Linked DNA regions of Macaca fascicularis. The protein of the gene in region 1 purifies or fractionates together with the protein of each later gene. This does not show direct contact. Links are inferred from orthologs where the notes say so. Each region holds a gene or a part of one and is shown on either strand. Other genes may lie near its edges. The genes, in order: SLC16A11 and EMB.

Evidence for each region.
Region 2: the proteins of SLC16A11 (region 1) and EMB purify together in Homo sapiens (co-immunoprecipitation; 3 studies listed by BioGRID and IntAct, counting the BioPlex papers as one, with this or other methods). This does not show direct contact. The link is inferred for Macaca fascicularis from reciprocal best matches to the Homo sapiens genes SLC16A11 and EMB.

What each region holds. Positions count from the first base shown.
Region 1 is NC_088390.1:7,078,574-7,082,485, reverse strand, and holds SLC16A11 (monocarboxylate transporter 11), read left to right. Parts: upstream 1-1,409; 5' UTR 1,410-1,566; exon of another isoform or gene 1,567-1,654; 5' UTR 1,655-1,815; coding exon 1,816-2,017; intron 2,018-2,255; coding exon 2,256-2,399; intron 2,400-2,562; coding exon 2,563-3,330; intron 3,331-3,417; coding exon 3,418-3,647; 3' UTR 3,648-3,705; downstream 3,706-3,912. UniProt on the Homo sapiens protein: Proton-linked monocarboxylate transporter. It catalyzes the transport of pyruvate across the plasma membrane.
Region 2 is NC_088380.1:55,705,237-55,709,048, reverse strand, and holds part of EMB (embigin), read left to right. Parts: intron 1-740; coding exon 741-927; intron 928-1,161; coding exon 1,162-1,250; intron 1,251-3,812. UniProt on the Homo sapiens protein: Plays a role in the outgrowth of motoneurons and in the formation of neuromuscular junctions.

The DNA.
Region 1 (3,912 bases):
TCCCAGTGACCCCTTATTTTAGAATCCTGTGTTTTCTGTCCCTGCAATGGTTCCGCCCTTTCCAGGGCAGTTTGCATCAAGCTGTATCCAGGATATTTCTCTTAACTGTGCCAGATTTTGTTTCAGTTCCAGGATTGTTCTCCCTGTAGGTCCCACAGTTGGACAGACCTAAATTCAAATATTCACACCATTTTTTCCCTGTGAGCTTCAGTTACTGCATCTATAAAAGAGGCACGACACCAGCCGGGCGCGGTGGCTGACTCCTGTAATCCTAGCACTTTGGGAGGCCAAGGTGGTGGATCACCTGAGGTCATGAGTTCCAGACCAGTCTGGCCATGGCGAAACCCCATCTCTACTAAAAAATACAAAAATTAGCCAGGAGTGGTGGCATGTGCCTGTAATCCCAGCTTCTTGGGAGGCTGAGGCAGGAGAATCGCTTGAACCCAGGAGGCAGAGGTTGTGGTGAGCCAAGATCTCGCCACTGCACTCCAGCCTAGGCTACAGAGTGAGACTCCATCTAAAAAAAAATAAATGAATAAAAGAGAGCAACAACTTCTTCATAGGGTTATTATAAGATGAAATGATAGCATGTGTAAACAGTGCCTGGCACATCACAGGTCTTCACTTTGAGAGAGTCCTGTTTCACCCTCTATCCTTGGGGGCCTGTTATTTTATTTATTTATTTATTCATTTATTTTTGAGACAGACTCTTGCTCTGTTGCCCAGGCTGGAGTGCAGTGGCATGATCTTGGCTTACTGCAACTTCTGCCTCCTGGGTTCAAGAGATTCCCCTGCCTCAGCCTCCAGAGTAGCTAGGAATACAGGCTCGTGCCACCATGCCTGGCCAATTTCTTTGTTTTTTTAGTAGAGATGGTGTTTCGCCACGTTGGCCAGGCTGGTCTCGAACTCCTGACCTCAGGTGACCCACCCATATCGGCCTTCCAAAGTGCTGGTATTATAGGCGTGCACCGTGCCCGGCCTGGGGGTCTGCTATTCTAAGCACAGCTCTGGCACTCAGTGGAAGTCTGTGATCTGATATCCGAGGTCTACCTGGTCCTAAGCAATGTTCCTGAAAACAAAACTACTCATCCCCTCAGGCTTTTGGGACCATCCATATTTCCCCGCGTTGGCGGTGGACCCCGGGCTCGGGCTCGCTGGGGTTTGCAATCCACGTGTCTCCCCTGCGCGCAGCAGGCAGCAGGTGCATGGGTGTGAGCAGGGCAGGGCCCCTCGGCATTCATTCCTCTCCACTCCCTCCCCGGGGCTGGGGGTTGTGTGTGTACATAATTCAATCCCCGTGGGACTGGTGTCTGGCCTCACCCGCGGCTTGGCTGATTGGTTGTTTCAGCTCGCCCCCGCCCTCCGTACCCCCGGCGTCCCAGGTGGCTTGGGCCCCTGTGGTGATCTCTGTTTACCGAGAGAGCTTGTCCAAGTTGGGCTCCATCGCTGCTCTCGCTCCCCTTCGGGGCCCCCGCCCGCCTGGGAAGCGGAGAGAAAGCCGGGCCCAGCCCTTCCTCGCCCTTCCCCTCCCCGCACAGCCCGGAGAGGTCGGGTAAGGGGGAAGGAGTGTACGTGGGACGGGGAGCCCCGGGCCTGGGGGATCTGGCTGTCCCCGTCCCGGTACCTCGCGCGGACCCGGGAGTTCCAGCCCTAGGCCTGGCTCCGGCTCCCTCTGCTCTGCGCCATCGCGCTCGGGGTGACCCGCCCACCCCGGGGGAGCAGCCGGAGGCTGGATCTCAGGGATGCCAGCTCCCCAGCGGAAGCACAGGCGTGGAGGCTTCTCTCACAGGTGTTTGCCCACCCCCGCAGACGGCGATGACCCCCCAGCCCGCCGGACCCCCGGACGGGGGCTGGGGCTGGGTGGTGGCGGCCGCAGCCTTCGCAGTGAACGGGCTGTCCTACGGGCTGCTGCGCTCGCTGGGCCTTGCCTTCCCTGACCTTGCCGAGCACTTTGACCGAAGCGCCCAGGACACTGCGTGGATCAGCGCCCTGGCCCTGGCGGTGCAGCAGGCAGCCAGTGAGGCGGGCTCTGAGGCGAGAGACGGGAACGGGGAGGAGGGGCTGTGAGTGGAGGGATGGGAGACCCCCCTGATTACCCGACAACCTGAGAAAGGACGACCGGCTCTAGAAAAGAGTGCATCTTAAGGTCAAGGAGAGGAACCATTAGTTCGAGGGAGGTAAACAGCCAATGAGAGGTGTTGGAGAGAGTTTGGGGGCCCGGGGGCGTGTCTTTTATTGACTCCGCCCCCTTCCAGGCCCGGTGGGCAGCGCCCTGAGCACGCGCTGGGGAGCCCGCCCGGTGGTGATGGTTGGGGGTGTCCTCGCCTCGCTGGGCTTCGTCTTCTCGGCTTTCGCCCGCAGTCTGCTGCACCTCTACCTCGGCCTGGGCCTCCTCGCTGGTGAGGGAAGGGGGATGCCCGGGTCATTCAGGGTGAACTGGGGACAGGAGCTTATGGGACTGGGGTAGCGAACGAGGCGAGGGCCTGGTGCGGAGAGCAGGACTGGGAATGCTGGCGAGGGCGTCCCCAGTGCCGGCCCACATCCCCTCCCATTCATTCGCAGGCTCTGGTTGGGCCCTGGTGTTCGCCCCTGCCCTAGGCACCCTCTCGCGTTACTTCTCCCGCCGTCGAGTCTTGGCGGTGGGGCTGGCGCTCACTGGCAACGGGGCCTCCTCGCTGCTCCTGGCGCCTGCCTTGCAGCTTCTCCTCGATACTTTCGGCTGGCGGGGCGCTCTGCTCCTTCTCGGCGCGATCACCCTCCACCTCACCCCTTGTGGTGCCCTGCTGCTACCCCTGGCCCTTCCTGGCGACCCCCCAGCCCCACCGCGTAGTCCCTTAGCTGCCCTCGGCCTGGGACTCTTCACACGCCGGGCCTTCTCGATCTTTGCTCTAGGCACAGCCCTGGTTGGGGGCGGGTACTTCGTTCCTTACGTGCACTTGGCCCCCCACGCTTTAGACCGGGGCCTGGGGGGATACGGGGCAGCGCTGGTGGTGGCCGTGGCTGCGGTGGGTGATGCGGGCGCCCGGCTGGTCTGCGGGTGGCTGGCAGACCAAGGCTGGGTGCCTCTCCCGCGGCTGCTGGCCGTATTCGGGGCTCTGACTGGGCTGGGGCTGTGGGTAGTGGGACTGGTGCCCGTGGTGGGGGGCGAAGAGAGTTGGGGGGGTCCCCTGCTGGCCGCGGCTGTGGCCTATGGGCTGAGCGCGGGCAGTTACGCCCCGCTGGTTTTCGGTGTGCTCCCCGGGCTGGTGGGCATCGGAAGTGTGGTGCAGGCCACGGGACTGGTGATGATGCTGATGAGCCTCGGAGGGCTCCTGGGCCCTCCCCTATCAGGTAAGGACCTGAGCTCGCAGATCTGCCTACAACTATCCTCTGCCCCTGGGGTTAGGGTCTTCTAAATTCCCTTACCCATCTCCTCAGGCTTCCTAAGGGATGAGACAGGAGACTTCACCACCTCTTTCCTCGTGTCTGGCTCTTTGATCCTCTCCGGCAGCTTCATCTACATAGGGTTGCCCAAGGCGCTGCCCTCCTGTGGTCCAGCCTCCCCTCCAGCCACGCCTCCCCCAGAGAGGGGGGAGCTGCTTCCCGCTCCCCAGGCAGTCTTGCTGTCCCCAGGAGGCCCTCGCTCCACTCTGGACACCACTTGTTGATTATTTTCCTGTTTGAGCCCCTCCCCCAATAAAGAATTTTTATTGGGTTTTCCTGAAACCTCCAACTGTTCACCCATCTAGGACCCTGAAAATATTCTACTTAAGACAGCCAGAAAGGCTGGTTCAAAGGAACAGGATCCCAGGAGGCCCTGGGTATGAAGAAGGGCGACTGTCTGTCCAGGCAACCCATTTCTCTTTGCCCAAGTCCTGGCCGGAACAGGGAATCTTTGCAAAGTTGTCTGGCAGCCGGTTTCAGTGTGTTGCT
Region 2 (3,812 bases), on another chromosome or scaffold:
ATGGGAAGAGAAATTGAGAACCTTTCAGACTACTTTTTAGGTACAAGTTTTAAAAATTTGCTAAGAGGGAAGGTCTAATGTTAAGTGTTCTTATGATAATCAATCGATCAATCCAAAATAAATAAGATATCTATTTTGAAAGTCAAAAAAAAGATAAACACCTTATGAATTCATACTGATACTGAAATTCAGTTCAAATTCAGAACTACAGGATGCTTATTTAAATTCTCTGTCCTGTACCTATGTCTATATCCAGTCCCTACAGGTTCTTAAGAAGACTAGGAATGGTTAGAATATAATATATCACTCAAATCCATGTTATACAAAAAACATTCTCGTAATAACTACCAACAACATGATTACTCAAAATTATTGAAACAGGCATTCCATTCTCACCCATGAGTGTGTTGTATTTACAGTTGTGCTGTTTTTACACTGTCAGAGCATACAGCACATGTTATTGAGTACTCTGTACCCTATATTCTGCTTATTACAGAGCTTAAGGAGATAACTATCACAGCTTTAGGTTTTTTTAAATTGTGTTAATGTTGGATCAAAACATTTCTTTAGGTGTGCATATAAAAGGGAATAAGAAAGGGAACCAACTATGTTGATAGAGGAATAATTCTTCAAATGAATGAAATTGTCAATAAAACACTTCAGTTAATAATTTAAAAGGTTTTATATATTAGATTCCTCTGAATATAACTTTCACATTTTGTCCTCTTTTGTGCTAATAGAACATTCTAGTATGCCAGTAGAAAAAAATATCACTTTAGAAAGGCCTTCTAATGTAAATCTCACATGCCAGTTCACGACATCTGGGGATTTGAATGCAGTAAATGTGACTTGGAAAAAAGACAGTGAACAACTTGAGAATAATTATCTTGTCAGTGCAACAGGAAGCACCTTGTATACCCAATACAGGTGAGTATACAAATTTTAACCTACCTTGTTTGCCAAAAGTAGCTTAATTCTAAATATTTTTGCTGACTGAGCATTCTTCCCTCTGCAGCCACTTGAATGTTATGCTAATATTCTAATTTGCATATTTACAAAATTATTTCTATTTTAAAATTTTGATTAATGGCTAAGTCTTTTCATTTTCATTAAGAAGGTTTTGAGAACTAAGCCTATATTAATAACTTCAATTATCTTTAGGTTCACCATCATTAATAGCAAACAAATGGGAAGTTATTCTTGTTTCTTTCGAGAGGAAAAGGAACAAAGGGGAACATTTAATTTCAAAGGTCAGTATTAATAGCTTGAGGAATAGTTAATAACTTCAGCACTATGTTCTTAGATTTCTCAATCCTGTAATTTTAAAATTATTTTTACAATAATAAACATAATATAGCTGAAAGTAAGTCATATGCTTTCCAGAGTCACAAGAGGTAACCTTGAAAATGGTCTTGTATCCCCAAGTCAATTTCCTTTCTGCTTCTGTTCCTCAGCTTAAAGCACAGGTTTTAGTTCAAAAGGATAGCCTACCACATTATGAGTGAATTATGAGAGTCACATGAATTTCTTTATTTACACCTCTAAATTCATAGTTTTTATAATAGTCCTCCACATTTCTAAGTTATTGTGGTATCAGCCTCTGAGAGCGTGGGTGGATGTTCTATATCCATAGCTCCATGACATGGGATTTTTTTTTATTATTATTATACTTTAAGTTCTAGGGTACATGTGCACAACGTGCAGGTTTGTTACATATGTATACACATGCCGTCTTAGTGTGCTGCACCCATTAACTCGTCATTTACATTAGGTATATCTCCTAATGCTATCCCTCTCCCCTACCCCTACCCCAGAATAGGCCCCTGTGTGTGATGCTCCCCTTCCTGTGGCAAAGTGTTGTCATTGTTCAGTTCCCACCTATGAGTGAGAACATGCGGTGTTTGGTTTTCTGTTCTTGCGATATTTGCTGAGAATGATGGTTTTGATTTGAAATTGTGGTTTTGATTTGCATTTCTCTGATGGTGAGTGATGATGAGCATTTTTTCATGTGTCTGTTGGCTGTATAAATGTCTTCTTTTGAGAAGTGTCTGTTCAAATACTTTGCTCACTTTTTGATGGGGTTGTTTGTTTTTTTCTTGTAAATTTGATTGAGTTCTTTGTAGGTTCTGGTTATTAGCCCTTAGTCAGATGAGCAGATTGCAAAAATTTTCTCCCATTCTGTAGGTTGCCTGTTCACTCTGATGGTAGTTTCTTTTGCTGTGCAGAAGCTCTTTACTTTAATTAGATCCCATTTGTCAGTGTTGGATTTTGTTGCCGTTGCTTTTGGTGTTTTAGACATGAAGTCCTTGCCCGTGCCTATGTCCTGAATGGTATTACCTAGGTTTTCTTCTAGGGTTTTTATGGTTTTAGGTCTAATATTTAAGTCTCTAATCCATCTTGAATTAATTTTTGTATAAGGAGTAAGGAAAGGATCCAGTTTCAGCTTTCTACTTATGGCTAGTCAATTTTCCCAGCACCATTTATTAAATGGGGAATCCTTTCCCCATTTCTTGTTTTTGTCAGGTTTGTCAAAGATCAGATGGCTGCAGATGTGTGGTATTATTTTGAGGGCTCTGTTCTGTTCCATTGGTCTATATCTCCGTTTTGGACCAGTACCATGCTGTTTTGGTTACTGTAGCTTTGTAGTATAGTTTGAAGTTAGGTAGCGTGATGCCTCCAGCTTTGATCTTTTAGCTTAGGATTGTCTTGGCAATGCGGGCTCTTTTTTGGTCCCATATGAACTTGAAAGCATTTGTTTCCAATTCTGTGAAGAAAGTCATTGGTAGCTTGATGGGGATGGCATTGAATCTATAAATTATCTTGGGCAATGTGGCCATTTTCACAATATTGATTCTTCCTATCCATGAGCATGGTATGTTCTTCCATTTGTTCGTGTCCTCTTTTATTTCACTGAGCAGTGGTTTGTAGTTCACCTTGAAGAGGTCCTTCACATCCCTTGTAAGTTGGATTCCTAGGTATTTTATTCTCTTTGAAGCAATTGTGAATGGAAGTTCATTCATGGTTTGGCTCTCTGTTTGACTCTTATCGGTGTATAAGATGCTTGTGATTTTTGCACATTGATTTTGTGTCCTGAGACTTTGCTGAAGTTGCTTATCAGCTTAAGGAGATTTTGGGCTGAGATGATGGGGTTTTCTAAATATACAATCATGTCATCTGCAAACAGGGACAATTTGACTTATTCATTTCTTAATTGAATACCCTTTATTTCTTTCTCTTACCTGATTGCCCTAGCCAGAACTTCCAACACTGTGTTGAATAGGAGTGGTGAGAGAGGGCATACCTGTCTTGTGCCAGTTTTCAAAGGGAATACTTCCAGTTTTTGCCCATTAAATATGATATTGGCTGTGGGTTTGTCATAAATAGCTCTTATTATTTTGAGATACGTTCCATCAATACCGAATTTATTGAGAGTTTTTAGCAAGAAGGGCTGTTGAGTTTTGTCAAAGGCCCTTTCTGCATCTATTGAGATAATCATGTGGTTTTTGTCTTTGGTTCTGTTTATATGCTGGATTACATTTATTTATTTGCGTATGTTGATCTGCCTTGCATCCCAGGGATGAAGCCCACTTGATCATGGTGGATAAGCTTTTTGATGTGCTGCTGGATTCGGTTTGCCAGTATTTTATTGAGGATTTTTGCATCGATGATCATCAGGGATATTGCTCTAAAATTCTCTTTTTTTGTTGTGTCTCTGCCAGGCTTTGGTATCGGGATGATGTTGGCCTCATAAAATGAGTTAGGAGGATTCCCACTTTTTCTATTGATTGCAATAGTTTCAGAAGGAATGGTAC